Oryzias latipes: one gene and its partner. The protein of the gene in region 1 interacts with the protein of each later gene in a biochemical or structural test. Links are inferred from orthologs where the notes say so. Each region holds a gene or a part of one and is shown on either strand. Other genes may lie near its edges.

Region 1 (3,500 bases):
AGATATCGGAAAAGAGCAGTAAAAAAAAGCCTGGAGCATAATTTGCAAGATATGCACCACTTTGACATTTCGCACCAAGCTTTTTCCAACTCTAGTGCCAACTCATGTGCTAGAATTGGGTAGCAACAGTCCAGTGTGAACAGCATCTGCTAAATGTCTTTTCAAAACTGCGTGTTTAGCTCATCCTACAACGCATGTGACATGCGCAGTGTGACAATAGCAAAAAACTGGTGCATCCCTGACAATTGGGCCTGAAAAGAGCTTGATGATGGTGCGATTAACATATGGTACAGAAGATATGCCCCCAAGGACCGTGTTTAAGAGAAAAAAAAAACTCTGAAACACTTTAACAAAATTTGGGCGGATTTTTGATACGTTAAGCCAAATATAAGAAAATCAACTCACCTGCCACTCACAGGAATGTGTCCCCAGTTGAGTCTCCAGGTGATCATTGGGGTTGGAACGCCAACAGCCCGACAGGTGAACATAACAGTTGAGCCCCGTACAGCCTGGATGGACTCCTCTGGTGGGGTTGTTACAGTGGGAGGGGCTAAAAAGTGTCAAATGGATATTAGAGAAAAACAAGACATCTATTCATGCACAAATAAGAGCCGCTAAGTGAGTACATTTTGGCTACCCGGCTAAGAAACATAAATGCCTGACACCTAACTCCCAAGTATGGATGGAGAATTTCCTTCAAGTTCTCACGAATGAGTCTATCAGAAAAAGATGTTTCTCACTCAACAGATGTTTGACAAGAGCTGTGGCTAATCTGTCACAGCATGCGTGCCAAAAAAAAAGACTGAAATGTTCATGAGAGAAAACAAAGATCCAGCTGCTGGAGTGGGACTTACTGCAGCCGTACTCGTCAGAGCGATCAGCACAGTCCGGCTCTTCGTCGCACTGGTAACTAGCTGGGATGCACTTGCGATCACTGACGCATTCAAAGTGCTTAGATGCGCACTGCTCTTCAGGGCCTTTGGTAGCTGCAGTGATGAATAGATAGAAACAGAAAGACACGTCTGATATTTTGGGACGGCGATTTGGGAAACAAGTTGTCAGATAGGGTTGTCTTATTGGTAATCATAAACAACAACGTAACAGCTCACAAAAATGAGCACTTTCAGCATGTCAGTGAAAAAAAACCCTTTATTTTTTAAAATACAGATGGAAATTGTTGTTTCAGCTCATGGAAAGAACAGAGTTCAGACTTACGACAGTCCATTTCATCAGAATTATCCTCGCAGTCATTGTCACCATCGCAGCGCCAAAGCTTGAGGGCGCAGCGGCCATTTTTACACCTAAACTCATTTGGCTCACAAGGTGATGGAGTGCCTAAAAAGCATGCAAAGCTGTTCAGGTAATATAGGTACAAATTTTGAGGGCAGGAAAAACAATACTTTTCTTGGTGAATAAAAACCCAGCTAAACTACAATTCCCAGTGCCCCACCCCTTCACATTTGGTAACATTGAAAAGCCCCAAATGTCTTCTGTAGATACCAAAATGAGGTAATTCAGTAGTATCCAGTGGTCAGGAGGTATTCAGGTTTAGAAATGTCCTTTACAGAGGACACATTTGCATTGCTGTAGCTGGTAGGGTATGGGCTTTTTTTGCAGGTACCTTGATCTTGTTAATTTAACCAAAAAAAAAGTATTGGTTAATAAAATACCACATACCAAAAAGTGTACTTATTTTGGCTTTTGGTTGTTGAAATATTTTCATGGATTTGAATTTAAATTTCTGTAATTGAAACACTCTTTCTGTAACATGAATGACCATATCAAATCCAACTAAGAATTTGTTAATCTTTGCGAAAGTTCAGATGTTTGTTTTCGTGGGCGAAATGCAGACATGCTGCCAAGGCCGGCTCTAGGTTGACGTCATGAAATGGGCGACACTCACACCGACTGAAAGCCGGTGCCTCAGATCCAGTAGTCTTCCTTCCAGGTAGGAAAATTAGCTGGGAAAATAACTAATTTTTCATTTAAAAGTTGATATTTAGTGTTCCAAAGGTAATATATTATCATGTATTTGGATATAGTTTACGCTGAAGGGCTTAAGAATAGCATGATAAAGGCCTTTTAATTCTCTGTTAATACAGAACAGGCATGTTCAAAGTCCGGCCTGTGGACCAAGTGCGGCCTACGTTCAAATTTTTACTGGCCCACATGCCTTTGTCATAAAATCAGTAATATCTGGCCCCTAGCACTTTCTAAAAACTGTGAATATGTTATTGATTGTGATTGGTTAAATTACATTATAACTGTTGTAATCCTCTGGCAACTACCTGTAGCTACTTGACCTTACATAACCTTTAAAAACAGTACAGACCAAAAGTTTGGACACACCTTCCCATTAATTTGAATAAGAAGGTGTGTCCAAACTTTTGGTCTGTACTGTAATTTAAATTTAGACCTTTTCATAGGAACACAGATTCGTCTAAAGAATTTTTCCAGACAGACTTTTTCTTTTATTTAGGTAAAAATGCATTTAGAGATACCTTTGTTCTATGTGAAAAAAATGAAAAGTATCCCATTTCTTTTATATTTAATTTTATTAAAAGGGTTCAAAGAGTGCTTTGCCTTGATAGATTTTCTTTTAAAAATTTACTTTTAATAGTTTTTAAATAAAGAATTCATCTTCGACGAGAAATCTTAGCACAAAAAGTATGAATATTTGAATTTGGGGGATTTTAGTATCTTTGTTTGTGTTAAAATTCCATGGTGAAAAGTCTTGTTTGTTTCCTTGTTTAAATGTGGCACCATTTAAAAAGGAAATAAACTGGCTTCCCAACTGTGTAGGATTTAATGCCAAGAAGCTTTATCACAGCAAATAAATAAATCACCAAACACAAATGGCTCTCTGCTGTGTTTAATTGAACTTTCACTCAAGTGCATTCAATAGAAGACTACATATCTTGTGCAACTTCTTACCACATCTGAATTCATCGCTTCCATCTGCACAGTCCCGTTCTCCATCACAGATGTAGTCACGAGAGATACACTCCCCACTCTGGCATGTGGCCTGATCCGCTCTGCAGCGTAAAGGTGGAGCGGGGGGCAAAACTTTCATGGGAGGGACTGTGATTGGTGCAGGTGTTGTATAGACTGGAGCGATAAAACCTAGAAGGAAAGAGGTTGATTATTAGCAAGACAGAAAAAAGAAATGGATTGCTTTAATGGAACTTAGGCAGCAAGCTACAAAACTAGAGGATAATCATAATGGCCGCTTACCACAGGTCTCCTCGTCGCTCAAGTCCCGGCAATCAGCTCTGTTGTCACACTTGTAATTCAACGGGATGCACGTTCCATCACCACACCTGAACTCATTTGCCATGCAGGGTCTTATGATGGGAACAACTATATATATAAAGGGAGGGAAGGTACATTTTCAAGGATTATACACATGGAAGAAAATGACCCTTCAGCCTTGTTTCCACTGAGCAGTACGGTATTTTGAGCTTTTCCATTTTAAAATGGACCCGAGCAAAATAATTCCA
Region 2 (4,140 bases), about 5.9 Mb from region 1:
TCTCTGTGGCCATTCCCTCCTTGGTTGTGGTTGTAGGTGATGCTCTGGTTTGCGCCCCTGCAGAAGTTTGATTCATGCTCTGTGAAGGCTTTTCTTCAGTGCTCCTCACTAGATTAGGTTTTCTTTGAGTTTGCTTCTTCTCATTCCTCCTGCCACCATGAGAGATTAAAGTAGCATTTGACTCTGGGTAAGACAAGGGCAAGGTACTTGATTCCACCAGTTGGGCCAAATTCAAAATAGTAGAAGATGTTGGTTCTTCCCGAGAGTAGTCATGGTCCTCTGAGCCAACTCTGGGTGGGTCCTGTTTATACAGCGGCAGAGTGTTTCCCAGTGCAAGCTTGGAAAAGGGCTCCACAAGACTTTTTTGTGAAGTGCCATGCCCGCCGCTTATGTCTCTGAATGGGCTGCTGTTCCCAGTAGTCGTCACCCCTATAGACTTATCAACACTGTGTAAGTCACAGTCAGGGATGGGTGAGCACATTATCTTGCCCCCTTCATTTGGACAATGACAAACTTGGCAGTTGTCTGCCCGAAAAGAGTGTCCTGCCTCATATTTCTTGTTGCCGTGGGTACAGCCGATCCGCCCACACTCAGAGCATCCATCTGCAGGTTGTAAAACATCAATGCAGTTTGGGGGAATTTCAGGACACTGAATGAAACGACAGCTTATCTTCCCTCCTCCCTGAGGACAGGAGCATTCCGTGCTTCCGAAATCCACAAAGTAGGATTCTCCCTCTGGGACTCTCCCGTTTTGGAAGCCAACTTGGATACAGTCGTAATACTGGTACCCTTCGCAGATGCATCCCCTTTCCATACATTTGGGGCAGCAGGCACCTGTCTCTAAGACAGTTTCGATGCAGTTTTGCAGAACGGGACAGACCACACCTGAGCAGTCTTTCTGGCTTGCACAGATGTCCAAAGTTAAAATCACAAAGCAGAAAAAAGAGGAATACTTCTGAATCGTCATTCTGCTGAAAAAAAGATGCCAAAGTCTTAGCTCTTCAGAAGTCTTGAGTCATTTGTTTCCAGGTTGGACAGAATTTAACCTTTTTTGCCTGTGAAAGTGAACAGGGATTAGTCATATATTTACAGTTCACACTGGAACAAATTAGGGTCTTATTATGTGGTTTGTGTTCTAACCTGCTTTAAAGCATATTCAGTTTCAACCTAATTACCTATCTGCATCCGTTTTATCACCTGCGGAATGTGTATTTTTCTAAGCCGTTTGCTGTGACATGACACAGCAGGAAGGATGTGGTTTTTGTTTGATTTCACATAGAAATTTGCCAAGAAAGCTTAGCGGAGGAAATGTGTGCAATAATGACCCAACACGTTTTTCAGCTGCAACAAAGATGGTGCTTTTATCATGCCGCACATACTGAGCCTGCCACATGAAAATATTTGATGTTTTGTAAAGACTGCAGCTTTTCTATCATTACTAATGTGAAAATATATCCTAATTAGGTAACCAACATCCTTAGAGTTTAGTGGGAACGCTGGAGATTAATGCGAACGTGTTTGCAAAGAGGTTAAGCTGGTGGAGCACAAACTGTTTTGGCAAACTTCTCCCCTGCAACTGTTGGCACTGGCAGAGATTCAATATTGTGATTGCATTCAGCGAGCTTAAGAGCTTTTCTTCTTCTAACATACATACTGGAAATGGCAACACCAACTTTATCAGGTGTGATTTAGTGTGACTTTAAATCCCGTGAGATATTGAAAAACTTGCATGCTATTTCTGTTTTGCTTTTTTTTTAATCTAGTGGTCTAAATGATTGGTGTTTTCACAGCAAGGTAAATTTCAGATTTATCAGATAGAGCTATGGTTAACTTAACATCACCAATGTTAGGCCCTTGATACACTTTCCCACCTTAAAGGTTTGTTTTCTTTCAACAGAAGCAACCTTCAAAGTAAAATTGCCATGCATATTTTGAGTTAAATGTGAGCTAAATGTGGAATGCATTTGCTTGAAATCAGATTAGTTCACCGTAGGGTCCATCAAGATTTATTTGATATTGAAAACCTTCATAGTTCAGTCATAAAACAACCTAAAACCTGATGGAACTCTGTTTGGTGAATCAAAGAGGCCTTTGTGTGCAGAAAGGTACAGAATCATTTTACCAGATCTCAAAGTCCCCAACTGGCACAGGCTGACTGTTATGGGGCTTTAATAGTACCCTACCACTGTCAGCTGTAAAGGCACCAAAGTTCATTTTAAGCGACACAAAAAATTCAATAAAAAAAAAGAGAGATTGTGGCACAAAGGGTTTGCAACCTAAGTGAAAAACACTGTAATGTTCTTCCAAAGAATAATGTAGAGTGGCTGATTGATCAGGACTGACCCTTACCCTTACCCTTATTGTGTTTGTGCGCATGCACAGCATATCCACTTTCAAGAGAGTGCAAACAAACGCACAGAGCCAGGAGACAATAATGCGTGACAGCTGCACATAATATACCCGTGGAGGTCCAAATGTACACTTCAGTTCATTTGTGATGAATCACGCTGTCATATGATCTTTTAACTATATTAAAGGCTTGTTACATTCCTGGCAGGGTCACGACACAGCCTCCTGAGAAAGAGCAGGCTCATATGATCTCTTCAAATCAGCGATGAAAACACTTTAACACCAGAGTAGTTGCTCATGCTCGTGTGATGCCCCTTGGAAATCAAAACTCGCTGTTTTCAAAGTCGTGGAGAGTTTTTAATTGTAGGGAAATAGAGACTCAGCTTACCTCCTGCTCCCGCTCCTGCTGCGCTTCAGAGCTTCTGACGGGACGTGTGCGTAAAGTTTGCGCCCTGATCGCTCCTATTTAATCAGGGGAGCGCCCCTGCGCTTGAGGGCGGGACAAACCTTCACAGACAAACTTTTCCAGGCTACTCTTTTCTTTTTACTAATTTCTTTTCAACGCAGTTCACCCTTTAATGCGAGAAATGATGACATGGAGTGGCATTTCCCATAAATTTGATCATCTAACTTCTAAGTGACCCCAAAGTTGATTGGAATAGAGAAATTGAACTCTTTAAAGAAAACTTGTCTCAGTGACATAAGCAGAAGCTTCCTTGTCATGTGCCAATTATAGGGATAAGCAATAAACAAAGCACAAAAATAAGACGTGCTTCATTTCTTGCATTCTTTATCAATTTTTTTGTTATTTTATTTGTTTTATTTCTCTACTATTTTTATCTTAAATGTAACCTAGTGACTAATTCGAGTGGAAAAAGAGAAAATCTGATTCTTTGGGTGAATAGACTGACTTCAAGTGCCTGAAGTGCTGGTGGGCCATGTGGTCACTTTGTCTAAGGGGTTTCCTTTGAAGGAGCAGTGACAGAGATCTGTTGGTTTCCTATTATTGGTTTGCTCTGTTCTTTTCATTCAAATGCAAGCAGGGCTGCACATGCTGTAAATGACTTCCTGAGTTCTCTTGAAAAGGTTTTCCCAACTGAAATTTATGATGCATAATACCCCGAAACAAAAACCTTTGTAAAAAGGCTAAACAAAAAGCACACAAGAACACACAATTCCTTTAGAAAAATTGGTTATTCAACAGAACTTTTGCATTTTGAGTGGCTGAAACGACTGCTTTAGAGTCAGAATTACATGTAAATCAGCACAAACCTTTTACCTATGTCTCTGAGCTTAGGTTCATCCTGGTGGTACACTCACATTCAAATTCATAATCTGATCACATACAGAGACAGAGTATGGAGCTTCCTGCATAAAAGAGGGTGTTGACTCTGTGCAGAAATTGTGAATACTGGAGTACAACCGTCATTCTATGGGTATTCGAAAACTTGGCAGGCAGAAATGCCATCAGAGGTATTTTGTTGTTGATTTTTCAGACATTTTGCAAATTTCTAAACCACATAAGTATTTCTTGTGAAGGACTACTGTGATATGGTTGTAAAATACTTCAGAATGTTTTGAAAGCGAATTATCTCCTCTGTAACAACAGTATGGTTCTAATCTAAATTCTACACTGTCAGCGCTCTAAATATGAAAACAAATCAGCTGTGCAGTAACAAATACAAACAATATCCTCACAAACATCTGACACCACATCCACTCTAAAGAGATTTCCTGGTGTTGCAGGGAGCAAATAGCCTGTTCCCTCATGTAGTATTTGACCTCCGTTGA

The links. The genes of interacting proteins can lie anywhere in the genome.
Region 2: the proteins of hspg2 (region 1) and fibulin-2 form a complex in vitro, tested with the Homo sapiens proteins (2 studies listed by BioGRID). The link is inferred for Oryzias latipes from reciprocal best matches to the Homo sapiens genes HSPG2 and FBLN2.

What each region holds. Positions count from the first base shown.
Region 1 is NC_019865.2:23,380,635-23,384,134, forward strand, and holds part of hspg2 (basement membrane-specific heparan sulfate proteoglycan core protein), read right to left. Parts: intron 3,361-3,500; coding exon 3,235-3,360; intron 3,124-3,234; coding exon 2,935-3,123; intron 1,336-2,934; coding exon 1,216-1,335; intron 987-1,215; coding exon 855-986; intron 551-854; coding exon 406-550; intron 1-405. UniProt on the Homo sapiens protein: Integral component of basement membranes. Component of the glomerular basement membrane (GBM), responsible for the fixed negative electrostatic membrane charge, and which provides a barrier which is both size- and charge-selective.
Region 2 is NC_019865.2:17,508,126-17,512,265, forward strand, and holds the start of fibulin-2, read right to left. Parts: upstream 2,801-4,140; 5' UTR 2,738-2,800; intron 1,056-2,737; 5' UTR 968-1,055; coding exon 1-967. UniProt on the Homo sapiens protein: Its binding to fibronectin and some other ligands is calcium dependent. May act as an adapter that mediates the interaction between FBN1 and ELN.